7 linked regions of the Bombyx mori genome follow. The protein of the gene in region 2 binds, or shares a complex with, the protein of the main gene of each other region. Links are inferred from orthologs where the notes say so. Each region holds a gene or a part of one and is shown on either strand. Other genes may lie near its edges. The genes, in order: general transcription factor IIF subunit 2; DNA-directed RNA polymerases I, II, and III subunit RPABC3; DNA-directed RNA polymerases I and III subunit RPAC1; RNA polymerase I-specific transcription initiation factor RRN3; Znrd1; transcription initiation factor IIA subunit 1; general transcription factor IIH subunit 5.

The links.
Region 1: DNA-directed RNA polymerases I, II, and III subunit RPABC3 (region 2) and general transcription factor IIF subunit 2 share a complex: the UniProt entries of both Homo sapiens proteins name them as parts of the TBP-based Pol II pre-initiation complex. The link is inferred for Bombyx mori from reciprocal best matches to the Homo sapiens genes POLR2H and GTF2F2.
Region 3: DNA-directed RNA polymerases I, II, and III subunit RPABC3 (region 2) and DNA-directed RNA polymerases I and III subunit RPAC1 share a complex: the UniProt entries of both Homo sapiens proteins name them as parts of the pol I pre-initiation complex. The link is inferred for Bombyx mori from reciprocal best matches to the Homo sapiens genes POLR2H and POLR1C.
Region 4: DNA-directed RNA polymerases I, II, and III subunit RPABC3 (region 2) and RNA polymerase I-specific transcription initiation factor RRN3 share a complex: the UniProt entries of both Homo sapiens proteins name them as parts of the pol I pre-initiation complex. The link is inferred for Bombyx mori from reciprocal best matches to the Homo sapiens genes POLR2H and RRN3.
Region 5: DNA-directed RNA polymerases I, II, and III subunit RPABC3 (region 2) and Znrd1 share a complex: the UniProt entries of both Homo sapiens proteins name them as parts of the pol I pre-initiation complex. The link is inferred for Bombyx mori from reciprocal best matches to the Homo sapiens genes POLR2H and POLR1H.
Region 6: DNA-directed RNA polymerases I, II, and III subunit RPABC3 (region 2) and transcription initiation factor IIA subunit 1 share a complex: the UniProt entries of both Homo sapiens proteins name them as parts of the TBP-based Pol II pre-initiation complex. The link is inferred for Bombyx mori from reciprocal best matches to the Homo sapiens genes POLR2H and GTF2A1.
Region 7: DNA-directed RNA polymerases I, II, and III subunit RPABC3 (region 2) and general transcription factor IIH subunit 5 share a complex: the UniProt entries of both Homo sapiens proteins name them as parts of the TBP-based Pol II pre-initiation complex. The link is inferred for Bombyx mori from reciprocal best matches to the Homo sapiens genes POLR2H and GTF2H5.

The regions. Positions count from the first base shown.
Region 1 is NC_085110.1:12,712,215-12,716,367, forward strand, and holds the start of general transcription factor IIF subunit 2, read right to left. Parts: upstream 2,802-4,153; 5' UTR 2,610-2,801; coding exon 2,333-2,609; intron 2,202-2,332; coding exon 1,990-2,201; intron 598-1,989; coding exon 472-597; intron 1-471. UniProt on the Homo sapiens protein: TFIIF is a general transcription initiation factor that binds to RNA polymerase II and helps to recruit it to the initiation complex in collaboration with TFIIB.
Region 2 is NC_085130.1:16,021,247-16,025,549, reverse strand, and holds the start of DNA-directed RNA polymerases I, II, and III subunit RPABC3, read left to right. Parts: upstream 1-1,497; 5' UTR 1,498-2,300; coding exon 2,301-2,593; intron 2,594-4,303. Other genes in the region: H/ACA ribonucleoprotein complex subunit 4, read right to left, coding at 1-1,205. UniProt on the Homo sapiens protein: DNA-dependent RNA polymerase catalyzes the transcription of DNA into RNA using the four ribonucleoside triphosphates as substrates.
Region 3 is NC_085131.1:5,578,830-5,583,135, reverse strand, and holds the start of DNA-directed RNA polymerases I and III subunit RPAC1, read right to left. Parts: upstream 2,854-4,306; 5' UTR 2,256-2,853; coding exon 2,202-2,255; intron 2,123-2,201; coding exon 1,822-2,122; intron 1,441-1,821; coding exon 1,321-1,440; intron 849-1,320; coding exon 666-848; intron 570-665; coding exon 342-569; intron 1-341. UniProt on the Homo sapiens protein: DNA-dependent RNA polymerase catalyzes the transcription of DNA into RNA using the four ribonucleoside triphosphates as substrates.
Region 4 is NC_085116.1:3,278,859-3,283,092, forward strand, and holds the start of RNA polymerase I-specific transcription initiation factor RRN3, read right to left. Parts: upstream 2,816-4,234; 5' UTR 2,248-2,815; coding exon 1,839-2,247; intron 915-1,838; coding exon 815-914; intron 1-814. Other genes in the region: Galpha12 (G protein alpha subunit), read left to right, coding at 3,774-4,234. UniProt on the Homo sapiens protein: Required for efficient transcription initiation by RNA polymerase I (Pol I). Required for the formation of the competent pre-initiation complex (PIC).
Region 5 is NC_085112.1:11,752,481-11,755,443, reverse strand, and holds Znrd1 (transcription-associated zinc ribbon protein), read right to left. Parts: upstream 1,645-2,963; 5' UTR 1,644-1,644; coding exon of another isoform or gene 1,639-1,643; coding exon 1,512-1,638; intron 1,288-1,511; coding exon 1,077-1,287; intron 819-1,076; coding exon 794-818; 3' UTR 503-793; downstream 1-502. UniProt on the Homo sapiens protein: Core component of RNA polymerase I (Pol I), a DNA-dependent RNA polymerase which synthesizes ribosomal RNA precursors using the four ribonucleoside triphosphates as substrates. Can mediate Pol I proofreading of the nascent RNA transcript.
Region 6 is NC_085117.1:13,410,866-13,414,957, reverse strand, and holds transcription initiation factor IIA subunit 1, read right to left. Parts: upstream 2,608-4,092; 5' UTR 2,086-2,607; coding exon 1,117-2,085; 3' UTR 604-1,116; downstream 1-603. UniProt on the Homo sapiens protein: TFIIA is a component of the transcription machinery of RNA polymerase II and plays an important role in transcriptional activation. TFIIA in a complex with TBP mediates transcriptional activity.
Region 7 is NC_085109.1:11,979,363-11,983,752, forward strand, and holds the start of general transcription factor IIH subunit 5, read left to right. Parts: upstream 1-1,500; 5' UTR 1,501-1,627; coding exon 1,628-1,662; exon of another isoform or gene 1,663-1,892; coding exon of another isoform or gene 1,893-2,030; intron 2,031-2,666; coding exon of another isoform or gene 2,667-2,813; intron 2,814-2,931; coding exon of another isoform or gene 2,932-3,037; intron 3,038-3,551; coding exon of another isoform or gene 3,552-3,688; intron 3,689-4,303; coding exon of another isoform or gene 4,304-4,390. Other genes in the region: meiotic nuclear division protein 1 homolog, read right to left, coding at 1,893-2,030, 2,667-2,813, 2,932-3,037, 3,552-3,688, 4,304-4,390. UniProt on the Homo sapiens protein: Component of the general transcription and DNA repair factor IIH (TFIIH) core complex, which is involved in general and transcription-coupled nucleotide excision repair (NER) of damaged DNA and, when complexed to CAK, in RNA transcription by RNA polymerase II.

The sequences.
Region 1 (4,153 bases), on a different chromosome or scaffold from region 2:
TAGGACCTCTTGGGAGTCCACACGGGTAGGTACCACCACCCCGCCTATTTCCGCCGTGAAGCAGTAATGCGTTTCGGTTCGAAGGGTGGGGTAGGCGTTGTAACTATACTGAGACCTTAGAACTTATATCTCGAGGTGGGTGGCGCATTTACGTTGTAGATGTCTATGGGCTCCAGTAACCACTTAACATCAGGTGGGCTGTGAGCTCGTCCATTCATCAAAGCAATAAAAAAAAATGCAATTAGATGTGTTTTTTTTTATGAACATCTAATTTTAAATTCAAAGTCACTACTATTCTCAGTTTCAAAGTATGAACAGTATTATCAAAATTAGAATATAATATATACAGTGAAACAGTTTCTTTTGGCCTTTATTTTTTTTATTAAGACAATGATTAAATTTTTTGCTTAATAATGTGTTAATAATTTTATGTTTAGACAAATATAAAATCATCAGAATAGTATTTATTACCTTTTGAAGATCCTTAATATTGTAATACTGATGTTTCTCAAATGCTGCAAACAGCATATTGAGCACTGCTTCTTTATCATCACGAGCCTTTTTCCCTTCAGCCTTCTTCCTTTCTTGGTAGTCAATCTAAATATTTTACGAAATTTTAATATACAAAATTAAAAAAAGCATGATTAACATAATGAAATGAAATAAACTTAATAGAATACAAAAAGTAAAACAACTTAAGAAATTTTAAAACCTGTTGTTATTCATTGTGTCACTTGTGAAAAGTTTTCTGGTTGGTTTAAGAGCTCATAGAAAGTAAAAATATACAGAGCCATTTGTTTTTATTTACTGATGTTTATAATTTAATTTACTATATAGATGAGTGAAGAACCCCGTGGTCCACCCAGTGTAAAGTGGTTACCTCACTAGTCATCATAACATGAATAGCACCAAAAACCTTGAGAAGTCGAAATCTCAATTCTATTGTATGAGGTTTTCCTTCAAACCAATGTGCTTAGTGTGAACTTTTTAACTTCTCGATCAGAGTTGGAACAGCACCCCAAGAAGCAAACGCAGGGGCGCTATTCCAACTTCATACAAATTTGAGTTATTTTTTAAATATAAATAAATATAAATATAAATATTTACTAACAATCACGCCACGTTAACTGGTCCCGTGCTAAGTTCGTAAAGAACTTGTGTTACAAGTACCAGATAACGGAAATAAATATAATATTTTATTATACACATACATATATTTAATGTACACCCATAACCCTGGAAAGACATTTACATTTATCATACAAATATCTTACCTTGGCGGGATTCGAACCCGCGACCTCCTTGTGTAGTGACCATGTCACTTACCACTACACCAGACGGCCGTTTGATCAAGAAGTTAAAAACTCACACTAAGCACACAATGATTTGCTGTAAACATAAGCAGGAGCAATATCTACACACACCCTACTATCTGTACCAATACCACACATATATGAATGCCCACCCATCTTCAGATAAAAGGTGGAAGTACCTATTGTATTTTATACCAGCTCAAGATGCAAATTTTACAGTCTTGGCCATCCCAAGCTACTAAACATTCCCTATTTACCGTTCCACCATTCCAATTATATCAATCACTACTTATGTCCCATTAATTCCTAACCTATGGAGGACTGTTATCAGATAAGTAGCTATCAATAACTACACAATTTATAATTTTTTATATTGATCAATCATGTTTTTATTTTCGAGTTTGTCTAAATGATAACTTTGCTATACAATGGGAGCAGACATTGCTGCAACCTGTATTTTAATACTTCTAGTAGAATTTATATGAAGCATTTCATTCAACAACATATCCAAAGAGTATTGAACTGCATCTGGAGATCTCAGAGCTCTACACATGCTCTATTTAAAACTTTTTAATCATCTCTAGTTTGACTTCCAATGCAGTCAGGGGCATGTTTTAATGATCAGTTGCTGAAAAATACAGTAAATCAATCCTTTAGATTTCAACAGTAAACATACATTATGTGGATGGTCAGATACTGGTTTGAAGTTCTGAACAATCCTGTCAAGCTGTTGCACTTGTCGCTGAGGCATGGATGCTTTCTTTATTGATTCAGATTTAAGCTTATAGTATGTCACATCATCATTTGGTCTGCATTCCAATTTCTGTACAATCCTACCCTCCATGTAAAGGTTTTCTGTCTCTGGTACTACAGAGTCCGTATTTGTCGCTAAAATGGTTATATTATGAATAAACACGATTAATATAATATCGAACTTTAGACATGAAATTAATTTTATCATTGAGTTCACCAGGACATGTTAGGAGGCGTTAAATATAGATAATTATGAGACTACTTACGGGCAATATGCGAAAATACACCTAGAGATTGAGTATTAACGTTTGAAACATCAAGCTTATGTTCTTTTGGTATGCTTTGTTCACCAGGGTCCTTTAAACATAGCACTGCTTCTGACAAGGATAACTGCACTTTAGCTCTCGTTCCTGGTACTCTGGAGATCTTTAGTTTTCCTACCTCAATGTTTCCAGGAGCTTTTTCCCATTTGTTTGCTATATATTTAGGTACTTTTACCAACCATACTCCTCTACCAGTATTTGATAAGTCCAATTCGGTCATTGTTGTGGAATATAAAATCTATTAGCAGTCGATAGCGGACACTATTTTAACGGCCTTTAAAAGTACTAAAGTCGTAAAGATTTCCTTTAACTATAACTAAATCTTAGAAAATTTACTTGCACTTCCACAAAAGACCTACATAAGTGACAGCTCTCGAAAATATTAAGTGTATAATCTATGGTGACAGCTTAACCACAGATTAATATAATAAATACCGTAAAATGGGGCGATTAGGGATTGAGAGGCGAATCGGGAAAAAACCGGGAAAATCTTGCGACGCACAATATTAGTTTTATATTCGTTGCAAAATCTTCCATTTTTTGTAGTTTAATAGTAGAATGTTGAAAGTTCACAAAAAAACTCTGAATATGCATGATAATAGCTGCTAACTTATAAAAAATCGCGTTTCAAATTAACTTCCTGTGTTGGAAATTATTTTAGTGCTAGAAACTTTGCTCTCTTTTATTTATTTGATAATAATAGAAGACGACTGTGATTTATAAACGTTATTTAGTGTTTGAACCATCATATATATTAAAGGTAAGTCTCAGTTGTTATTGGTTTTAATGTATTTGATAAAATAAAAATACATGTAAAAATCTGTTGTTTTGGGGGATATTAGGGACGTCTTAGGTACAAATAACAACGAAAAAGGGGTCAATTGGGATGAGAATACGTGAAATGGAAACCACCTAAGTATAAATAGGTACAGGTTTGTAGGGTTGTCTATGTAGTTATAACAATATTTTTTAAATTTGTTGGTAAAAATCTGGTTTATTCATGATGTCTTTGTCTAGAACTTTTATTTAAAATTATCAATGTGTTATTTTATTGTTTGGTAAATATATTATCAGTTACGTATTGTTTTCTATTTTTAGATATGCCTCGCGTTTACGTATCAAAGAGTGCAAAGCCTTATAAGAGATATGATCCCTTAATATTAAAAACAGCAATAGAAGCCTATGAAATTGGGAATAAGTCTTTACTTGAAATAGCCAAGCAATTTAATATAAGTAAGTCGATTTTGCACAGACATGTAACAAGAACAATGAAATCTCGAGGTGGACAAAAATGTCTAAGTAATACATTATAAAATATTTAATATTTGTTCAGAGTGGGGGTATTCATCTGATTAATCCATGGAATAACCGACATAACTAATCTCTTAACCCAGATAAAAATATCAGCCCCTAAGTACTTACCAAGACCGAAGAAATATAAACCGTTTATAAGAAAGCTCACTCGTTCGAATTTAGGTGCTTACTCTCCCATATACAGAATCCTTTGGGACTACAATAATGTCCACGGTAGCGTGGTCTCCGTCAATGTTCATTCGGAGTTGTCCGATTGCGCTGAACTAATTTTAAGTGATAAAATAGATGTTTTTTTTAATTGTCTCACAACTTACAGGACAAATCTGTCGTGGATCATTTCCCAAGTAAATATAAATTAATCATAAGTAAATAAAACAAATAAATTAAAACCAAGTAGTGCCAACCCTAGCAAATTTCTCATTTCGTCCCAATTAACCGCAATTTCCGGGT
Region 2 (4,303 bases):
TTGCCATATTTGTCAAGTTTCCCTTGTTGTATGAGGATTTTTTTCTGTGAGGCTTTCGGTCCGAGACCCCATTTTCTGGGGTACGTGTCTCGTTCCATTATGACACGCTTGAGTTTCGCGGCTACACCATGATCGCATGAGGCCATCGTAGACGTGGTCATCAGAGCAACGGCCAACGCTACTGCCTCACCTTTAGTGGTGACTATTACGATTTCTTGGTCAACTTCGATGCCGTCTTCGTATCTTAAAATACCTGGTAACAGCACTTTGGCTCCGTAGCAAACAGCATTAACAGCGCTGTCTTTGATAAATATCCTTTTGTGAGCAATCAGGAGGCCTTCCAGAGGTTTGATTACTCGACGAAGATAAGTCTCGTCTTTGTGGTTTTCATACGACCATTGTGCATCTAGGATGTCGTGCATCGTGACCATGCCTTCCTTCTCGCCCTGAATGCCGGACCGTACTCGTCTGAGTTCGATCATCTGACCTCCGACGCCAAGCATCAGACCTAAATGCACACACATCGTCCGGATATACGATCCAGCCTCGCAACTAACCCAGAACACCCCAATATTCTTGTCCTGGTCGAAATCCAGGAGTTTACTGTCGTACACCGTCCTGACACGCAGTTGTCGCTTCACGGCCGATATAAGCGGGGGCCTCTGGAATAGAGCTCCACGCAGCTTCTCCAAGCCCTGTGTGACTTTTTGAATATTCTCTACGGCTGAATGCAAGTTGAAAACGGCTACATACTCTTTGCCAGCGTTCTGTTGTGATTTGACGAGTCTCGTGGCGCGGTCTATGCAAACGATAAGGCAACCCGTAACTTTCGGATCGAGCGTGCCCGAATGACCAGTCTTTTCGACTTTTAAAATACGTTTTATCCATGAAACTACTTCGTGGGAGCTGGGGTTGCTCGGTTTGTCGACGTTGATGAAGCCAGATTTGACGTAATCAGAGATGGGGCGTTTTAAAGGCGAGTTGCCGAATGGTAGCGGCGTGTAATGGTTAGTGCGCACATTTAAGCGATCGAAGTTTTTCAACAACAAAGGCCAGTAAGCGGTGTCCAGCTTCTTCACGCTCTCCGAAGGTTCGATTTTGAAGTCGCCAATTGTCTGAAAAGCTCCCAACGAAACACCATCCTTGTTTTTTTTCTTTTTCTTCTCTGAAAGTGTGTCGTTACCGGGCTGCAGTACCTCCGTCATTTTGATGAATTAACACGTATCTTTTCTTACTCTTAATTTTAGGCGATCGACGCAATCACTTGGGTAAACAATGCCCTATAATCGGGCACTGTTTATTGAAAGAACTTTGAAAATATAACACAATGCTCGGCCATATAGCACGTGCGATTCGGTTGAGGTTAGCTTCAGATTTGTTTGCGTATGATTATGGTCAGATGGCGCCAACGTGCAAAGCTCGTTGTGCCAACATTAAAACAGAAAATAATTCGGATACTTGTTAATTTTTTTAACCTTAAAGCAGAACATAAACATGTAATATTTTTATTGGACTGAAGTTTTATACTTTTTCGTTTATTATTGATAATTTTAATAATATTTTGTTAGTTTTTGACACTTAAAAACAAAAACGATTTCCAAAAAATGCCACGAAATATCGTAGTCACTACTTACACTAAAAATATTAAAGAGAAAATGGAACTTAAACGTAGACCGAAATATACATTTATTCAACTCCTAAATTTCGTACATTGTCTTGGCCTATTTATCATTAGATAGGCAAAGAGAACTAAAACTATGCCGCCGAATTTTTGTAACAAAAAACTATATTATTATCGACAAGGAACGTACAATGGAATAATTTAAAGACAGAACCCAATCCCCTCAAAATCTTAACCGTCCAACAGAAATCCATCAATTTCATAGTTGGGAATTTGCTTAAAGTCCAACAGAGATTATGGTAGACCCAAAAAAATAAAAACTATTTAACATCTTGTCCTTCCACCAAATCCTTATCAACTTCTTTCACTCTCACTTTAAATAGGAACTAACTAGTAAAAACAAATCTAAGTAGTCCAAATATATAATATAGGTAAAATGGGATTCTTTTTTTCAGTGTGAGATATTCCGTCAAAGTATCCAAATATTCAGTACCTATACTTCAAAAAAAAGTCACACTTGACATTGACATTTATTATCAATGTTTTTTTTACATAGACCTATATAGTATTTTTAGTGCCGTAAAATTTCAAACAGCAACAGAGTCAGCGTGCTTCTTTCTCATACTGTCCGTTGTTGATATTGTTTTAGTAAAATAAATTCACAGGATAAAACTTGATCATGGCGGGCGTGCTATTCGAGGACATTTTCAACGTCAAAGACATGGATCCGGAGGGCAAAAAGTTCGACAGAGTCAGCCGATTGCATTGCGAATCGGAGTCATTCAAAATGGATTTAATATTGGACATTAATTCTTGGATATATCCAATGCAACTAGGCGAAAAGTTTCGTCTAGTTTTGGCCACGACGTTGAGGGAAAACGGATACCCTGACGGCGGAGAATGGAACCCTCTGGAAACCGAAGGAAATCGAGCAGATAGTTTCGAATATGTCATGTCCGGAAAAGTATACAGGTTAGTTCTAACATAAAGGTGTTGTAGCGGCAGGTATCGTACAACAGAAGATATTTTACAGATGCAGTTAGCAATTATACAATTTCCTAACGATCATATTCGGAACGTCGAACTACCGAGCAAAATCATGTCCTCAGTGGAAATCTTTCCTTATAATGAAGCTACCTGTCACATTAGCTCCTCAATTTGATGTTGAAGTGGATGAGAGCCGAAAACGGCTCAGTGGTGTGGATTGGGAGACGCCCATGCCCAGCAGGGGACGCCTTGGGCTAATGATGATGGTGATGGTGATGATGATGAACACTTGTAATATCTATGTGGTTATAAAGTCTATATAAACCAATTTAACAGTATTATGAGTTTTGTACATAGGCAGAGTGGCACCTTCCTACAATATGAGGTACCACCACCACCTGGAATCAAATAAATCATAAATTTTGTGGGTTTCGTCATCATCGTCAGCCCACAAACGTCAGAACACAGACCTTTCCCATGACTCACCTCAATGGCTGGTCCTGTGGAGCCTGCATCCAGCAGATTCCTGTGACCTTTAGCAGGATATCAGAAAACCGAACAGAGCTGCCCACTCTCCCGGTGTACTATGGCCATTTGTGATCAATTTAAAAACTCACAAAATTTATCCATTTGTGATATTTCATTGCCTACCATTCATACTTACCTATGCGATTTGAACACTGGCAAATTTCATCCCTTAGTATGAGAATACAGTGTTCGATTTGTGATTTGATGTACCCACCAGATATGAAAATCTACAGATAGCCAATAGGACTAAAAGCAACTCCTAATTTGAAATAGCTGCCAAATGATTAATTAGTTCTCAATTACAAATTTAACGCAAACTCAACTGGGTTACGTTTAGTTAAGGTTATGTTTAGTTAAGCAAAAACAATGATATACTGTTTGTGTTACTATTTATGCTCCTGTATCAAAAATTAAATATATTCTTGTCCCTGAAGTAGTCTGGCTGATATCAGTGGAAAAGTATTCCATTGGAACTACTGCAAAGTAATCATTGTTGGACTAATAATTGTTGTATTTAATGCAATTGAGTGTACAGTGAAAGCTCTTCAGAAACCGTGAATATGGAATGGTAATTTATATATATCGGATTATAGAGGATACATTCCTAGGTGACATAGTAAAAAAAGTCTTTAGGCATAGTTGTGATAAGGTCTATTTTACTTTTTTATTTGTCCATTTGATGACAAATTTTCAAAATATGTTCAGTTCTATACCTACATATTGGAGTCCTTTTTATCAATGTGTCGAACCCGTCGCTTGCGATGAAGGGCTCGACGAGCAAATTAACCCATAGACACAGCCCACTGAGTTTCTCGCCGGATCTTCTCAGCCTGTCGTGTTTCCGATCCGGTGGTAGATTCTGCGTAGCACTGCTCTTGCTAGGGCCAGTGTTAGCAGCACTCCGGTTTGAGCCCCGTGAGCTCACTACACGTTAGGGGGAAGCTGATATAGCCTCTCAAGGCTATCAGCATAGGAAAGAATAAAAAAATTAAGCAATTTTTTTTTTTATTGCTTAGGTTTGTGGACGAGCCCACAGCCCACCTGGTGTTAAGTGGTTACTGGAGCCCATAGACATCTACAATATAAATGCGCCACATACCTTGAGATATAAGTTCTATATTCTCAGTATAGTTACAACGGCTGCCCCACCCTTCAAACCGAAACGCA
Region 3 (4,306 bases), on a different chromosome or scaffold from region 2:
CATAGATACAAATATAAACACTTCTGAAAACATAAGCCTTTGCTTTTTTTACTTTTTTAGATTTTTGGGTTTGTAAATTAAACCTTAGACACAGCCCACTTAGTTTCTCACCAGATCATCTCACTGGGTCGCGATTCCGATCCAGTGGTAGATTCTGAGAAGCACTGCCCTTGCTAGGGCTAGTGTTAGCAAATTCGCCAGACTGAGCCTGTAAGCTTACCTACACGTTAGGTGAAGCTAGACCCCCTTGAGGTAACCAGCATTGATAGCAAAAAAACTGTTGCACATGTAATTATTTGTGGCATTTTTATGATTTCATTAATTTACATATGGCTACTTACATATGAAATGATCCCGAACTCTACTTAGGATTGCTGAATCTTTGATTGTGTCATATCTATAAACATTACGACTACATGCATCATATCTTGCATCTTTCACATATGCTCGGTTTTTAGAGTCAATACCAATAACACCTGGTGAGAAACAACTCTGCAACAGTGTGGCTTCACTGTCACAAACTTCACGAGTCAGTGTTACCTCTGGCAGCAATCTGTATGTAGCTGTTGCTGTAGAATAAAATGGATATGTTAGTTAAACCATTTTTTTTAATAATTAAAATAAGCTTATCTCATTTTATAAAATATTCATAAGAAGGGACTAACCAACAGGTGAAAATTTTGCATGATCCTTTCCTATGCCCTTCACGGCAATCATTTGAAGGTCTATTTCATGGCCAGGTCTCATTTTTGATATAAGAATATCCTTATGTACAGGACCCACATCAGCTTCTTTATAAACTGTAGCTTGGTTGCCAATTGGATGCCACTTCATATGGGATGAATAAACTGTATAAACATATTTGTAATTAACTAAGTATTAAGAATAACAAAATCATCTAGCATTATATAAAAAAACTATAAATATAAATTTCATAGATTAGTCCATAGTTCAAAAAATCAGCTCTGTGTTCTGTCCTATCAGCATACAACAATACCACTCTATATCTTACCATGGTGTTGTTACAGGTGGCTAAAAAATTTACCAGAAAATGGCAGTAACATTCTATAAGTTTGGTATTGGTAGTCATAATTTATCTTGTCCATTTCTACTGCAAAGGAATCCAGTTTGTAAGGATAGCTGTTTTGCTATGGAATGGAAACTTCAATCCCATATCTTAATGTGAGTGAATCACCTATATCTATGCACTGCAGCAAGCTTAATACCAGGGCCATATGCTGATCTGCGATCTACTGTTATATTAAAAACATTAATAGGCTGTTTGTTACACATTATTATATTGATATACAGAAAACTCACTACTATGATTTTCATACAAATCTTCAGCTCTATATGAATCTTTTGGTTGTGACTTGCTATTGGTACATTTTACTTTTAGTGAAAATTCTAAAGTGTTGAATTCTGTTCCTTCCGTGTCTTCTGAAAATAAAATTTCAAATTATTTACAAGAGCTGCTCAAACAATTCTTTTATTTTCTGTTAACTTTTTTTATTTCATCATAGTTACAATAATAAAAATGGACCAGGCATCTTATCCTTTAGGCTGTGAAAACTTTACTGATTATGAGATATAAATGTTTATTGAGGTATAAAAGTGAGTATTTAATAACATCTTGCATTCCAGCTCTAAATTGTCAATTTTAGGATACTAGAAAAATGAATATTTGTGGTTTTATTAGTGTACTAGTTTACGTAATTGATAAATAAAAAATAATTAGACAACCAATTTCACAGAAAACAATCATCTTCCAAAACGAATGCCCACATATGGTCTCGGCTTTGTAATAATTTGTACACAAACCTTCAGATTTATATTCAAACAATCTTGGATCAGCTTTGAGAGGAATCAATCCTAATCTGTGTGCTAAAACTTCATCCTGTATTATAGAAGTGTTGTTCTTGATCATTACTTTTTCAATAGCCATACTAGGAACTTCACTTAACATGAGTCTCCGGAATGCGTTCGCAAATGCTGGCTGGATCCCAATCAAGTCAAATTCCATTTCGAAATTGTCCATTCGTACTACAACTATCTTAAACTTCTTCACAAACTTTTTGAAGTCCCATGTTTCATCGTCTAATCCGTAATCTTCGGGTGCATTCTGTACGGGCAAAAATTATTAGGTTATGATCATGTGCATTTTTATCGTTGTAAATAAGTCTTGCAATTTAAAGGAGAACCTTAACACGGAATTCTTCAAGAAAAACTCGGGGTTTTTCATCGAATTTAGGCATTTTTGCAATATTTTACTAATTAATGTAAATAAGGTTTTATCTTATTTCACAGGTATACAGTAACGTTTACTGTATATAAAGTTTGTCGCATATTTTTATACAGATATAATTGACAAAATTAAATATTTCGATGATTTTACGTAAGGTAGTGATCATAGATTATACACTTAAGTAGTGATTTTAAGTAATTTTTAGTAGGTAATTTAAACTTTGACTATGTAGTAAGTAATGTAAGTTTGTACTTATGTAGGTACATAGGTACGGTACCGGTAAAATGGGGCGATTAGGGATTGACAGGCGAATCGGGAAAAAACCGGGAAAATCTTTCGACGCTCAATATAAGTTTTATATTCGTTGCAAAATCTTCCATTTTTTGTAGTTTAATAGTAGAATGTTGAAAGTTCACAAAACAACTCTGAATATGCATGATAATAGCTGCTAACTTATAAAAAATCGCGTTTCAAATTAACTTCCTGTGGTGGTCATTATTTTAGTGCTAGAAACTTTGCTCTCTTTTATTTATTTGATAATAATAGAAGACGACTATGATTTATAAACGTTATTTAGTGTTTGAACCAGCATATATATTAAAGGTAAGTCTCAGTTGTTATTGCTTTTAATGTATTTGATTAAATAAAAATACATGTAAAAATCTGTTGTTTTTGGGGTTATTGGGGACGTCTTAGGTACAAATAACAACGAAAAAGGGGTCAATTGGGATGAGAATACGTGAAATGGAAACGACCTAAGTATAAATAGGTACAGGTTTGTAGGGTTGTCTATGTAGTTATAACAATATTTTTTGAATTTGTTGGTAAATATCTGGTTTATTCGAAGCGAAATTGGGAATAAGTCTTTATTTGAAATAGATAAGCAATTTAATATAAGTAAGTCGATTTTGCAGAGACATGTAACAAGATCAATGAAATCTCAAGGTGGACAAAAATGTCTAAGTAATACATAATAAAATATTTAATATTTGTTCAGAGTGGGGGTATTCATCTGATTAATCCATGGAATAACCGACACACCTAATCTCTTAACCCAGATAGAAATATCAGCACTGTCGATTGCACCTATAATTGAGGTGATGTCTGCCATGTACTTTTGTCAGTTTTTCATTTTTTTTTATTGATGATCACTTTGTTGGTGCAACTAAATAAATAAATAAATTAAAACTATATATAAAAATAAAAATAGTGCCAACCCTAGCAAATTTCTCATTACATCCCAATTAACCGCAATTTTCGGGTAAATAGAGATTACACCTATTTTTGCATTTTTTGCTTAAACTGGAATGCTAGTTGCATAATTTTAAATTAGACAACAAAGATGCCCCCAAGACTCAATCATTTTGATCCTGATATAGCATTATATACATCAACAACTACCTTAAAATTGCTCATAAAGTTGGAATTTGTCCCTAATCGCCCCATTTTACGGTACGGTACCGTACCGTATTGGAAAATAAATAGAGGTTTTTACTTGTTTGAATTGACAACTCGCTGGGCAAAAGGATCAAAGACCATACAATCCTAATTTTTGTTACAGTAAGTGAAGTCGTGTCTGTTTTATGTAAATCGAAACAGAAAGAAATGAAAAAAGTGTGTGTGTCCGCTCCGACGCACGACTGGAGTTTACTGGATATAAAAAATTAAACGAAACAATACGAGAAATAGTTCTATATTACGACAACACGATACACTACAGATTATTAACAAATTAACGAGACACAAAACAAACGACTAACAAATATATGAAAATACAATAATGAGAGAAACGCGCGATCAGTACGAGGCTTTGTGGCGGACTGCCGGCGCAGCAGCCCGGCGTCACCTGCGATAACGCGGCCGCGCGTTGGCTCCTGATTGGCGCGCGCACGCATCACGCAATCAGGAGCCAATCAGGCGCATAACGCATTTCGTGTGACATGCTAGTACGATTTTGGTCCCCATAATTTTCATACCCCGGGCCTATATATGTAAATCGATTCTAAAGGAGTAAACTCCAACAAAAGGAAACAAAAAGAAATCATTATTATTATTATTTTT
Region 4 (4,234 bases), on a different chromosome or scaffold from region 2:
CGAATGGAATGGTTGCTTCAATGATTGGTTCCATCGTATGGAAAAATGTGTCAAATTTCGCGGAGAATACTTCGAAAAGCAATAAATACATTTTTAAATAGTAATGTTGTGTCACTTCGTTAATTCCCGAAATTTTCAGTGCCGCCTATGTATTGATTGATGTAGGTGCAAAATCACACAACATAGTTTCCAGAGTCATTTATAAAGCCAGATAGAACTCTGTGCACCTGGTTATTTTAAGAGAACAATTTCAGTCTCTCATTGACCCATTTATTATTAAGTATTATATTAAAATTTTTGAGTGTGTCACAGAAGGCTCAAATATGATCTCATCAGCTAATGTTTTGTAAGTAGTATGGTGGGTCCCATAAACTTTTTAAACATCTATGTGATGATCTTGTGGTATTCAAACATTTTTAGTTAGCTGCAGAAGACAGTTCCCAAAAAGGGAACTGTTTTAGTATAATGAGATCTGACCAATTAAATATCTCATCCAACCTTTGTAGGTTGTCAAATATATCATCAATATGCTTCATGAAGCATTTTGATATATTAGCCTATATCCACTCACTTAAGAGTAAATACTGGGGCTAAATCAATACACATACTCAAATAATTAAATTCCCAAACCACTCTAATTCAAATTGTTGAAGATTTCTGTAAATATTTTATAAATTTTTATGTATCGTGACACATATAGGGCGCTTCATTAGAAAATAGTCCTGACATTACTTAAATTGTTAGATAGATATAAACATCCACAAACAATGTAATATGAAGCATAACCTTAAAGAAAGTTACGTAAAATACTTACATCGGCATTATTGCGATAATTTGTCCTATGATTGTATGAATGTTAGACCAGCTATTCAATTTCTCTGTTGGTGGAGTGTCATCCCAGTTTTCTTCATTAGCTAAAAATATCATAGTCATCATCAAATATATCTCTAACTAATGTTATGAAAATTATTATTAGATTAAGTAAGTCTGCCTAAAAAGGCAATATTTTTTTTTAAATATTATCTTGGATACTTCAACTTGTGACTGCTGGTTTGGAATCCTGCAGGCTGGTAACAATTTTTCTGATGGAATACTACTTACTTAACTAATGTTCACAAATGACTTCCACAGTGAAGTTGTGTAATAAAAATCAAACCCGTAAAAGTTTTAATTTCCTTAATTACTATCAGTAGAGAAACTTGTAAGCATGCGTGGGTAGGTACCACCACTTGCCTGCCTATTCCTGTCGTAAAGCAGTAATGTATTTTGATTGAAGGGTGGGGTAGTTGATGTACTGTAAAAACTAAGTCTTAGAACTCAGGTTTCAGGGTGGGTGGTAGCATTAACATTCTGTATGTCTATAAGCTTCAGTGAACACTCAACACCAGGTGGGCTGTGAGCTCATCCACCTATCTAAGCATTATAATAAAAGTAACGGACTAATAGCATGATAATAATATAATTCAGTTTTATACAATACAATATTTCAGTAGTTATATTAGTAAGAATATGAAATAAAAGAAAATCTCAAATCTTAAATGTTACTAGATTTCTGAAAGAGTACTTGTATTGACTTTTATGTGTTAAATTCTTTCACAATATTTCACAATGTTTTTATTAGTATTTACTGATTATTCGTTCATATAAATATATATTTTATATGTTCATTTCTATTTTCTTTGTCTTTTAACAATTTTATATTTAATATTACAATTATAGAATAATATAATGTAATAGCATAATTTATGACATCTTCATAATTCCTACAAACCAATGAATCGTAAGTGGCTATCATTGTCCAGGTATACTAGAACTACCACTGTGTGTTGCTAACTTACCTTTAAAAACCTTAACCAGACAGCTCATCACTTGCGGACAATGGTAAATATGTGCAGTGACTAGGCTAATGATGAAGGTGCTGAAAAGGTTGACTAACTTTTCACACCTACTAGCCCACTCAACATTGCACACTGCTTCTACAAACTGCTTGAAATCCTGTCCCATAATCAGAACGCAAGAGAGACAATCTTCGAGAATAATCCGAAAATTCTCATCATTTAATGGGTAATCTCTCAAAACTCTGACTAATTCCGAGTAAGGTCCAATGTTTCCTGTTTTAGCATAATTAAGAAGTATCTGTTCTATTTGTTTTTCGGAGAATTTCAATCTAGTACGAGCTAAAGCCGCTTGGCGATCCAGAGTTTTTTGCATCAAGGACGCGACGCTTTTCCTAGCCGCTACCGCCATTACTTCTTCAAGTCTTTCGTGATTGCCTTTAAAAACTCTGTTACGTCTGGTTGCCGAAGCAATTCTGCTTTTTTGTAGTTCAGTACTTCGCGTAAAATATTACTACTATCTTCTATGTTCGGGACAGTATTTGTGTTCGGATCGTAGCTCGTACTTGGTTTGCTGTACCCGGCGCTCGTGTCGGAAACGTCAGTGTTTTTCTTGTCTTTCAAATAAGACTGTAATCGCTCTAAAACAGCCTTGTTGTCACTTTCTTTCTTTTCTGGGCTATAACCTTCTCTCGACATAGCTTAACGGTAACTCTAAGTTTTACATTGTGTACAATGTTGCTGATGTTTTATTGATTAATATTTATGATGAATTAACGGAAAATGTACACGTACGTTCAAATTAAACCACCTAAACCTAATTCTTCACCTCAGTTCCTTTTATGAACACGTGCGCAACGTGCGCGGAACTTTTTGACTTTCTATTTGACACGCCGAAATTTGTCATTTTGGTTTGATTTTTCTATCTTCAAAAGGCAAAGAATAAAATGACTATACGTTAGTCTTTTCTTTTGAAAGACTCGAACCAAGTCTTTTTCGAAAGAAAGCATAATTAATTTTGTGGCTTGAAGAATTAGACGCCTAATAAAATCGTATTAAGCGCTGCCACCATGTTAGTGTCTAAATACTGCACATATTAGTTGAGGTATTGGTCTCTATTAAAACTTTTTATTTTTAGATTTATTGTCTATTTCGATGAGAGCCCTTTTGCGTTTTGTCATTAAACTATCGACAGCACTTATTTTCTGTGTATAGTTTTAATGTTATAAATAAGTTAGTTCTGACTTCAATAATTAATGTCATCAGTTTGAGCTTGAGCTGATTTATCGATTTAATGTTTTAAAAAAAATTGTATTATTGCAATGAAAAGTTTTATTTTCCCAATTTAGGAATGAAACTCGTATAAAAACTCCGTAGATAATACACATGGTAAAAAATTACTCCGATCTGGCCAATCGACTCCTATTTTAGATTAATTAAACTTTGTCTATTATTTTCCCCTAAGTAGAAACACTGAGTTAAAAAGTTACAAATCTATTGAACGTACGAACGATCGAATTTTTTTGATAGTATTATAAATATTAGATTATTCATATAAACTCCGCTTTATTTTGTCTGTCAATACTTATTGAATTCAATAGAGATACAACATATATAAATAAGAATATAAGAGAATACAGTAGAGATGAATGTTGTGTCTGCATTACAGATTACGAATGTGATTTGATGTTAGACTGCATGTACGGTACCTACCTACTTGAATTTTTGACGTTTGTCGTTTATCTGTGACTTTTCATTTCTCAATGAAATTGGGAGGGGTGGAATGCGTGTGTATTTCGGAATTCCGGATTTAATCTTCATTTTGTATTATCATTATCAGTGTGTGTGTTGTGTTGGAAAACTTTAAAATAATGAACTGTACAAATAAAGTGTGATTTGATTTGTTTCCTTTTTTAATTGTCTTGATAATCATGCAAAATGGCCAACGATTTGTGGTCATGTACCTGCTGTACAGAGGCTCTGACTTGTTGGCTGCGTCTGAAGCTATCGCCGGAGGAGATAGAGCAACGATATAGGAGTAAAGAGATCGACAGAATACTCGAGAAAGATAAGCAAACTTTGCGGCGGCAGGTGAAGCTGTTGTTACTCGGCGCGGGTGAAAGCGGAAAGTCAACATTCCTCAAACAGATGAGAATCATACACAAAGTGAAATTCGAACCGGAACTCGTGCGGGAGTACCAGCATGTGATATATCAGAACATTGTCAAAGGCATACAGGTGTTAGTGGACGCAAGAGACAAACTCGCGATACCATGGGAGAATCCGCGGAATTTGGATATCGGCCAGCAAGCACTGCACTTCAACAGCACGGCGTCGCTCGACAGCCGACTCTTCATGCACTACGCGCCGCACATACACTCATTGTGGTTAGACAGAGC
Region 5 (2,963 bases), on a different chromosome or scaffold from region 2:
TGTTGCCAATACTACGATTATTTTTCTTCATTGTATGGTTACGCTAGCTCACAGCCCACTTGATGTTGTTGTGGTCTATAGGATACGATGCCGGTTTACAAGTATCAAGCGATTGTGCTGGTGTTAGTATCAAGGGATAAGGCCTTAGGAGGCAGGTAAAAATTTTCCTTAATAAATATGTATGTATTACAGAATCCAGTGACTTCTACTATGGAAGATTAGCAGTGTGTACTTTTGTTATACAGGCATATTATGCTTACTGTAGGAAACTAATATGGCCGAGCTTGTTCTACATAGAATTATTTCTGAGTAGTGTATTATAAGTTTATCAAAAATTGTCAAATGTAAATCTTCTACACTAAGATCCAAATAAACTTGTTGCATAAAACTCTTCAATATTGCTATGGTTTTAGAAACATGGAAATAAAACCTTTTGAAAAAGAAACTTTCATTGAACTTATTATTTAAAAATAGAAATGTATTTCTCAGCATAAAAAAAACATTTGGACAAATGTTTATAATTTCAATTATTCAGATTTGATTCTATTACATGTAATTTTTAAAACATGGTTTTTAAGATTAATCAGTATAGAATTTACAGTTTAAAAGTTATCATTCCAAGAAATGGAATTAAAATTACGCACCAGTTACATGGTGATTAATTTTAATCCTTATTAAATTTACCTAATTTAAAACAATCAGTAAAACTGATTTTTGCATAAAGTGATTCTGATACAATGATTCTATTGCCGAGTTTTCCTTTGACAACCTTAAAACTAGTATAAAGCAGCCTTTAGGAGTTTTCAGTTTCCTTGTATCTGAAAATAAATAATACTTTACGATATTATCTTGTACGATGTGTTCTTTTTTAAATTAGGAAATAATTTTATTTTTGAGATAGTAGTTGCTTACAAGATCATTATTATGTCCAGTTTTATATTACCAAGGAAATTTGGCCACAAGTTGCAATTATTTTCCTGTCTTAGGCTAGTGGTAGGGTCCAATTTTATTTAATACAAGTACAGATATTGATGACTTGCTCATCGAAATACAAATAAATATTGTAATTTACATACTTGCACTTTATACATGTGTAGAAAACTGTTTGTCCTTCATCGGCCGATCGTAACTGTAGAGTTGCATATGACATTCTGTCGTAACCGCATTTAGCGCATTTTCTCTCCACAACTGGACCCTCAGGACCATCAGTATGTAGTATATTCTCATTTGTGATCACAGATATAGTATTGAAATGTATTGTGTATTGAAATTTCATTTTACTATAATCTGTAAAAAAAGAATTTCTGAATAAAACATTTTTTTAAGTTTTTATTTTATATTTCGAAAACAAATACAACAGGTTCTTTCTGGATTTCATAAGTATCACTAAAGTTTTTTTATTTATTATAAATTTAATAGTGAATATTCGAAAATTATACAAAAGCATAACGCTGAAAAATCGTATCCCGTTTATATGAAAGTAATTTTTTCATTGGCAACTATATACTTACTATCAGCCTCATAATGTGCTTTACAAGTGTAGCATTTCACGGAGCCAAACTCTTGTAGCAAGGGTAATATGGACCCACAGCGAGCACAAAACGCTGTACTAGTTGATAACGGGCTTTCAGTGGACATTATTTCTAAAAGTAAACACAATTATCACTAAAAGGGTTGTGTATTTTTGTTTAGAATATTAGGTTATTTTAAATCTTTATCTATTAGTACTAAACATAACCAAAATATATTTTTAAACCAATATGAAGCATACTATATATTTTTGTGAAGGGTTTTAGACAGTTTTAGTGTATACATACCCTAAGTATTTGCTATACAAAAACCTATTTTTTTTTTACTATAATGATAAATTCATTACTTACGTACAATTTTTTTTAACTGTTTGACAATTGACAAAGGAAACATAGCCCATACTGATAGTATTAGATCACTTGTAACTAAAATTTGAAAAGATGAAGTTCAGTAACTGTTTCTTTTTCTTACCTAAGCTCATAGCCTTGAGAGGCTATGTTAGCGTCACCTAACAAGTAGGTGAGCTCACGGGACTCAAACCTGATGACGTTGCTAACGCTAACCCTAGCAAGAGCAGTGCTTCTCTGAATCTACCAGCGGATCGGAATCGCGACCTACTGAGAAGATCCGGCCAGAAACTCAGTGGGTTGTGTCTGTGGGTTAATTTACTCGCCGAGCCCTTTGTCGCAAGCGACGGTTTCGACGAGAACGATGACTGGTGATTTGAAGTGCTTAAAAGCACCGTTAGTGGATCGGGAGGATACGAAATGACGTGCTGTAATTAAAATAATGAAGATTGCACTTCTACGTTTTAGTTTTGGTGGACTTTTTGTCTCTCTACCACAGTCTGTGACAATGCCTACAGAACTACAGAACGCTCCCAGTAGCTGTAGATATAACCACTACAGTCTACTACAGCTCATTTTTAGCTCTTGCTCTTTACACTATTACTAACTCCACTCTATAAACGAAATTATAAACGCAATTCTTCAATAGTGGATCTCTAAAATCAGTCATCTTCATTGTTTCTCATATATAGATTAGTAGGTATTTAGGAAATATGTTGACAACTGTCGTCGTTGCGGATTAAACTCAAACTGCAGTATAGGAAGCATTTATTTATTCCACACGCACCTTAAAATCGTATACATTAACAATCAATTGATTTTTATCTTTGAACCTTTTAAAAACGTAAAACACATTTTTTTATATCATGACATTTTTCCCTCAAACTGACAGCCTGTCTTTTGAAGTGAAAACTTCTTTAGAATCGTTGTGATTTCAAACCGGATGCAACGGATAAAACGACAGGTAAGAGACACAAATACAAAAATGTGTAGGATGAAGCCAGCAAAGAATGAGACAGAAATATACATACTATTTAATACAGCGCCATCTGTGAGATTTTTTAATACTAACGCGTGTATGAAAGT
Region 6 (4,092 bases), on a different chromosome or scaffold from region 2:
TTTAAAATACATGGATAGATTACTAAGCCAGTGAAATAATGAAGAAAAAAAAACAATATTCTAATGTGAATAATAAAAATAATAGGTTGATCATTGTGGACAAGTGCACTCTGTTTTGAAATTTACCATACTTTTTTAAAGCAGCCTAACTGATTTTTTTTACATTAGAAACATGATGACTCTCCTTCTGTAAAAATAGCTTTCATATGAGTTTGTGTGTAGTTATTTTTCCTTTTAAGTCTTAATATTAAGAGTGCAATTTAATTCGTTATTAAAATAAAACCCCCTAAACGTTATCTATAATATTATTATATTAGAAATAATTACATTTTAAAGTATCATGCCCTTGCAGTCCTTGCCCATTGTTGAGATGTAGAAATTTAAAAAAAAACCAAATTAATTGTTTGCTTCTAATAAGGACTATTTGTTTGATATTTAAATTATCTTTGATCTTACATACTCTGTAATAAATATTTTTTTCATTTTTAAAGAGGAAATTTAACTCATTTTTATTAAATTTAAAAGTTGTTTATTTATGCATTATATTTTTTGTTTAAACAAATGAAATTAAGGACATTTTCAATATTATAAAAAAAACATGGGTCATGTGTCACATTTATTGTAATTTTAATAGTGGCATTTAAATTAAAGAGCATCAACTTAAGAGATAACAAAATTATTCACAAACTTCTTTTGTATTGTACATTATTAATACCCAATAAGTCAAGATATGTATCTCGATATTAGAAGCACAAAGTCAAATAAATATCTTTCATTTAGATTTTTTTTTGTGTTTTTTTTTGTAATTATATTAGTAAGTAGTAGTCTCAGTAGTGTACAAAAAACACACTAATGGGAAGTGAGACTGAAGGAGCTTGGTAGAGTTTTTTACTATTGGTAATACTAGTGTCTTAGAAAACTTCAAATCTACCTACTAAAGATTGTTTTTTTTTTTTCATAATTTGTTTAACAATCTTATCGTAATCTTGTTACACAGATATCTGCCATACAGACATCAAATTACATGTCGAAATAACGAAATAATAATTATGAGACCTTAAGCCCTAATTCCGAGATATAACAAATAATTTTCTATAAAATACACACTGTCTATAATCACCATTCCGCATCACCATTAGCCTTTTGGAATACATAATCCTTTCCAGCTAGATTCATGATTCCATCTTTGAGATAGAACTTCCACCTATTGCGACTGCGTGTAATTTTATCATATTGGCAAACAACTACATTATCAGTATCAAACATGTCCCCTGGCTCCTCATCAGATACATCATCACCGGAATTTAGGGGTTCTTCTTCAGCACCACCACTTTCATTTTGTTCTTCTTCTTCTTCTTCTGCCCGCTCTTCGGGAGAATCGTCATCATCATCATCATCTGCTGCACCGTCTTCTGAACCATCACCTACGTTTGAGCCATCATCATCAGAAGAGTCCAAAGCACCATCTAAAGAGAAAGGAGCAGTTCCACTGCGGCCGCCTCCGCCGCTATCAAAATCACTTTTTTGTCCTGCTAAAGCCGAGTTGATATGTTGTTGCAGTAAAGTAGCAGCTAGAGGTTGTGGAAGGCTAATGGTAGCATTTATTATAGGACCTGTTAAGACCTGATGCAGTTTGTTGCCGTTCAGAGCTGATGCTGGAATTTGAATGGTAAATGAACGAGGCTGGGACCCTGGAACTCCAGGTTGAGCAGGTAATGTAAGCTGAACTGGCACTTTATTATTAGGGTCTAGAATATGATGAGTATGCGTTCCAGCTACACTAGATGCTGGTGCACTATGTTCTTGTTGCCCCGAAGTATGTCCCATGTCAGTTCTTTTATGCACTACATTACTACCATTTACTTTTTGGAAATTCTGTAACACTGGAGGAGGTGGCAGCATCGGCTCAGGTTGTAACGGGTCCGTGGCTCCACTGGCTTGAAGCTTTGTCTTCCATAGTTGTTTTAGTTCTTGTAACACTTGTTCGTCTACACCGTCATCTAAGAAAGAATTTCTCACTCCGGATATCACGTCGTCTACCACTATGTTGTAAAGTTTCAATACTGCGAGCTGACTCGTTGTCATTTTGCAATCGAGCTGTAGTTGAAAATTGTTTAACAGTGTAAAATGTTCACAGAACTAGATATTCTTGTTTCTAAATCTGTTTAGTTTAGTTTAGAGCCGATTATTTGTCTTCTGAGTTCACATCGCAACATTTCAATGTCAAATTTCTGGAATTCACACAGTTTGTTAATTCACTAATGTTGATGACCAATTTTATATATTTAAGATAATATGTGGCTAAAGTAGCTTATTTTAACTTTTATGACGTCCATTTACATAAAGAGAGACAAATTTATAAATTCACCATAAAAATTTTGACAATTGATCACTCAAACATAACCTACAAACCGAGGAAATATTTCGTAGCCTTTAAAGAAATAATTGTCTATGGTTCGTTGATTCCGACATTGAACGACGACAAAGATGGCGCATGCGTTATGAGTACGAGAAATAGCACCGCCCCGCACCGCGCCCCGGTTGATTACGTATTGGTGAGTTTGCGCCTTGGGTAGTTGCCTTTAAATTGATTTTACGGTTTGAAAGGAAAGAGCCACCACTTTAAAATTTCAAAACAAAATTGGCATATCTAAAATTTATTGTTATAACATTGAATGATGAAATTTAAAAATATAGAATTTTCACAAAAAACGGTATTCATTCAAAAAAATTCGTTACAAGCCAATTTTAATGAAATTCATTTCTACTTAAACCATTGTTAAATAATATTGACTAAATAATATTTATATTTTATTTATATTAAACTATTGCACTGTTGAGTACAAGCAACGCAACACTCAATTTTATCTTGTACTATGAAAACTTAAAGACTTCATTCTTAATAAAACCGCATAATAGGACGTTTATGAAACAAGAGTAACTATAAACTTAATTGTTATTTTAGATAGATTTTTCAGTTTTTCAGTGGTTGTAAAAAATGTTGATTAAAATTGGTGGCATAGACAATAATTGAATTTTAGTATTTTTGTGGCGGGAAATCCAAATGTTGGAAAGAACTTTTCGTCTTTGTCGAAGCTTTTCATTTTTTTTGTAACGAATGACGTTGAAGTTTTTATATTTAAAATAGGGGCTTAAACTTATATAGTTGAAAAGGTAGTGTATAATAATATGCTTTCGTTATTAATTTGACATCAATCATCATCAATTCATTTGACTCAATACATTTCTTTCTGTGACAGATTTTTAAAGCACGACAATTGGTAAGAAGGTATTCTAATGGAACATTCTTATATATTCTGACTTCAATATAATATTAAAAATTTATAAATATCAAAATATGAGGGTTACAGTACTCATTTACCTCAATTTTCTTTTAGTAAATATTGTAACGAACAAAATCGATACCAATGCCGAATGAAACACGGTTTTTTCAGTTTATCAAATCAAACTTCTCTTGATAACACAATACAGCACATTTACCGTAAATTAATTAAAGGTAAATTAAAAGCACAGCTAGTTATTTCGGGGAAATAACGTCATCTGTCAGTGATTGGTGTGTATCTGTATAGTCCGCGGTCGACGCGGTCTAGTGGGGACCGTGTTGGTTTGTTCGTCGGCTAGCTATTTGCAGCAGATCGATACGTTCCAGAATATCATTACTCGCTCACCTGAAGTCTAAATTAACGTAGGATCAAACTAAAATTTGTTTACTATTCACTATGTGTTCGCTATTAATGTAGAATTTTGGTTTTATGGCAGTTCAAAAACCATCTCTTGTCGAAATTTGCAACATTTCGAAAGTTTCTGTTTTTAATGATTTAATATACATTATTATTTTTTTAAATATTTAATAAGTAAAATTTTCCAACTATGTACAAGTTAGCAAAATTATTTGGGTCAATGATAATAGAAATTTATGTTAACTACAATTAAAATTACAATGCTAACTAAGAATACCGTTATACCTAATTTACATTGCTATTAATAACTGTGTTATATCAATCAAGGATAAGTACTAGAATTTTTAAGTGTCATAAATTGTATAATTAATAACTTTTTAAGTTGGTAAAG
Region 7 (4,390 bases), on a different chromosome or scaffold from region 2:
ATGGCCCCAGTATTATCTAAACAACAAAAAATTGGTCTAGGCGCAGACCTCGCTGTCGGCTCAATTGAAAAAAAAAAAAAATGAAGAGTATGGGCGAAGAAATATATATTGCTGCGCGGAAAGTTAGCAAATATGAACATTATGAGTGATTTATCTATCCGATGATATGTAGGAGAAGTAAAATGTCCCTTAGAAATAAGGTGACACTCTACAAAACTTGCATACGCCCCGTCATGACCTATGCAAGTGTAGTGTTCGCTCACGCGGCCCGCATACACTTGAAATCATTCCAAGTCATTCAATCCCGTTTTTGCAGGATAGCCGTCGGAGCCCCGTGGTTCGTCAGGAACGTCGACCTCCATGACGACCTGGACTTCGAGTCCACCAGTAAGTATATGCAGTCGGCGTCAATGCGCCACTTCGATAAAGCGGCACGACACGAGAACCCTCTCATCGTGGCCGCCGGTAACTACATTCCCGATCCTGCGGACAGAATGGAAAGCAGTCGACGTCGCCCAAAACACGTCATCTCGGATCCTCCCGATCCACTAACGGTGCTTTTAGGTACTTCAAGCACCGGTCACCGTTCTCGTCGAACCCGTCGCTTGCGACGAAGGGCTCGACGAGTAAATTAACTCTTAGACACAGCCCACTGAGTTTCTCGCCGGATCTTCTCAGTGGGTCGCGTTTCCGATCCGGTGGTAGATTCTGCGAAGCACGGCTCTTGCTAGGGTTCGTGTTAGCAACATCGTCAGGTTTGAGCCCCGTGAGCTCACCTACAAAAGTTAGGGTTACGCTGATATAGCCTCTCAAGGCTCTCAGCTTAGGCAGGAAAAAAAAAAAAAAAAAAAAAAAAAAAAAAGAATGATTTAGAACCAGCAGACTTCAGAAATGATCTACGAATGGATTCGAGGTCGTTTGACCAAATATTAAGCCTTGTGGCACAATTTTTTTCAAAAGCAGGATACTATCCTACGATACTACTATAGTCTATTATATATCTATATTATATAACTATTACATATCTAATCCTACGATAGTATAAGTCCAAAAGAAAGATTGGTTGTAACATTAAGATTTCTTGCAACAGGAAATTCGTATCAAGATTTAATTTTTAGTTCTTTATAATATCCCAACCCCTTCTGACAAAAATTATCCCTGAAACAAGTTGGGCTATTTATAAATGTTTGGCACATTTAATAAAGGTGAGCGAAATAAATACTTTTTATTCGGAAGTAAAAAACAAACTAAGCCGTCCTTACGCACGGAGAGCTATGGGACGACTGAAATCATTAAGTAACTAAATGCGATTACACCTTCTTATATGCGTTTCTAATTAGGCTTCTAAATGATTTAGTCAGTCAGAAACCATCCTTGCTACTGAATTTAGCAGGTTAACTTACTGAATGCTATTACACCGACTAAATTTAGCAAAGTGTAATGAGCCTTCCACACTTACCCATAAATAATAGATATTAAGTGTATAGTCTATGAATAATAGTTTATAATAGTAATAGTATTCTGTATAACCTATGGTATCTACTGAAAGTAGGGAGTAAATAGGTACCTACATACTTTATTTACAATTAATTATTACATAAAGTGACAAGTTCTAAAACAATGAACCATGGTGAATGTAATGAAAGGTGTCCTCGTTGAATGGTATTTATTATTTTTATTTCTCACAAATATTACTTTTACATATGCAAACTTACAGATAAAGTTAGAATCGTTACAATGTGCTTTAATGATTTGAATTTTAAATTACATCAGTTAATCAATTTACTACGTACAATATATTAACTTGCCAAAGAATTTCTTCTTTGGTTTTTCCCATACTTAAATTTAATGTTCTGGGCCTAGGTTATGAGGAATGCCTTGTATATAAAACTTCATTCAATGTAATCCATATCTTTAGGTATGTTAAAATTTTCTTCTAGTGCATCAATATCTATTTGAAAACTATTTTTTATATAAGATTTCAATATATATACATTTTCTGTCCATCTGTTGCTGGCTGTTTTCAATTCCTACAAAATGAAACATTTTTAATCCAATATTATTATTTGATAATATTATAGTTATGTCTTTGGTTATACATACTACCACCTACAGAAAGCTATTTATCAAAACATAGTATTTTTTTAAATGTACTTTGTTTTCCTTATTTTTAAATAATGAATACAATGCTTAATTAATATACTGATAAGTTATATTGAGTAATATTACCCACCAAATAATAAAATATATATTTTCTAGCATGAAATAGACATGTTAGACTTAAAAGTCATTACCAGTTGTAAGCTCATACAGTTTTGTCATTCTGCCTACATCTGCCAAAAAAAATATACACATTCCAGTTTGATCAGTTCACTTGGCCTTTATGAAATATAATAGTAACTGATCTAATGTGTGCAATATTAAAGTGGGTAGCAGAAGTCACATTGTGATACCTATCAACTTCAGTAACTTACTTAACACTTCAGAAACACTAAATACTATACTACTATAGAAAGGCCATGAACTGATTCATCAATTACTAAATCCTTAAACTTGGGACATTGGCCTTATCTATTGCGCTCACAGTGGGGCGCTAATATGAGCTTGAATGGAATATAGACCTTAAGACATCATCTCATCTACATTAATATAAGAATTGGATTTACAGTTATTTCACGTCTCAGTTGTGCAATATATTCAGGATCAGATTCTCTGTATTTTTGTAATTCTCTCTTATATGAAGCCTCTTGCTTTTGAAGATCTTCTAAAGATGATAATATTTTTATTCTTTCTTCAGATATCTCTCTGCCTTTCTAATATTAAAGTCAATTAATAAATATATCAGTCTCTGATAAATATAGAATAGAATTAAGTTTCATTATAACTCTATAGACTATACTATACTAAGTAAAAAACTATAAATATTCTGACCGATTCTGCTATAAGGACTTCCTCAGTTTTCTTTAACTTCTTCGTACATTCATCAAATTCATTCTGGAGTTCTTGTAGCTTCCTCTTCTTGGTACTTTTTGCTTTGCTACAAGTAATTTATTTAATGTTTGCATGGCATTACCACAGCTTGCTTGATTTGAAAAATAATTTTGCAGTCATAAATTTTTAAAAAGCACAATTGTTTACTCTTAATTTCTCATAGCATCAGTGTGTAAAGTCCATGTAAATTTTATTATTCAAAATAATAAAACTAGTCTTAGTCAATGACTGACTCGGTGGTGCAAAAGTTGGCACCCCTGACTGCCGAAAGTTGTGGATTCGATTCCCATATTGGGCAAAAATTTATTCATTCAGCTTTACTGCTTACATGAGTCCACCTGGTTTTACATGGTAACCGAAGCCCATAGACATTACAACATAAATGCTGCCACCTGCCTTGAGACAAGATTTCTAAGGTCTCAGTTGTAACAGCATGATGACCTAACACCCTTCAAACCGAAATAAATAACTGCTTAATGGCAGAAATAGGCCAGATTTGACGCCAGATGATAATGTACTGTTCTGTTCCCAGTTATTTAGTTAGTTGTTTAACATAGTACCTTGGGAAAGACCAAAAGTACACTGAAGTCCCAATTTTTTCAGAATCAACCAGGTGATCATCAATTAGACTCTGAATCACTTCTTTAACTGATTGCATTGTAATACCCTTTTCTTTTGGTGCTATTTTTTCTAGTTCCTGTAAAAGTTAAAATATAAAATATTATCTTAATAGATTTTGTTATGGCCACTTCTGTTTTATGTGCTGTCTAAACATTTTCTTTTGAACTAATTATTGACTATTTGGTGACTCAACTAACATGATCACCAACAAATAAGAAATTGGACTCCTACCAAGTAAGTCAAATGATGAGTAAACATTCGTGAAAACTTCATTTATTATTACTTTGCTCTCAATTAATTAAAAAACGACCTTGCATTGCTAGTAAGTAAGAAACTCCAGACACTATTTCACACTGTCTCATTTATCCTAAATAAGAGATATATTTTATTGCTTAGTTGAGTGGAAGAGCTTAATACCCACCCCTGGTGTATGTGATTAGGTTACTGGAGTCAACAGACATCACAATGTATGTGCCACCCATCAGTATTATCAGATTTCATTAATTATTTATTGTGAAAGTCATTTATAAACATGTTTAATTACAAAGTTCATTACTAAAATTGGCACCTAACCGCTGGGTTTAAACATTGCTATAATAATACTGTTTAATATGAGTACATCTGGCATCTTATCGTTTAGGGCAGAGTGACATCGAAAGCTATGTATGAAGTTGTAATTTAATGAGGTTACCTTTAATTGAAAAAAATCTTGACTTTGATGGAATATTTCAAGCATTCTGGTCTTCTTTTCATCAGCACTAAGACCTCGTTTCTTGGA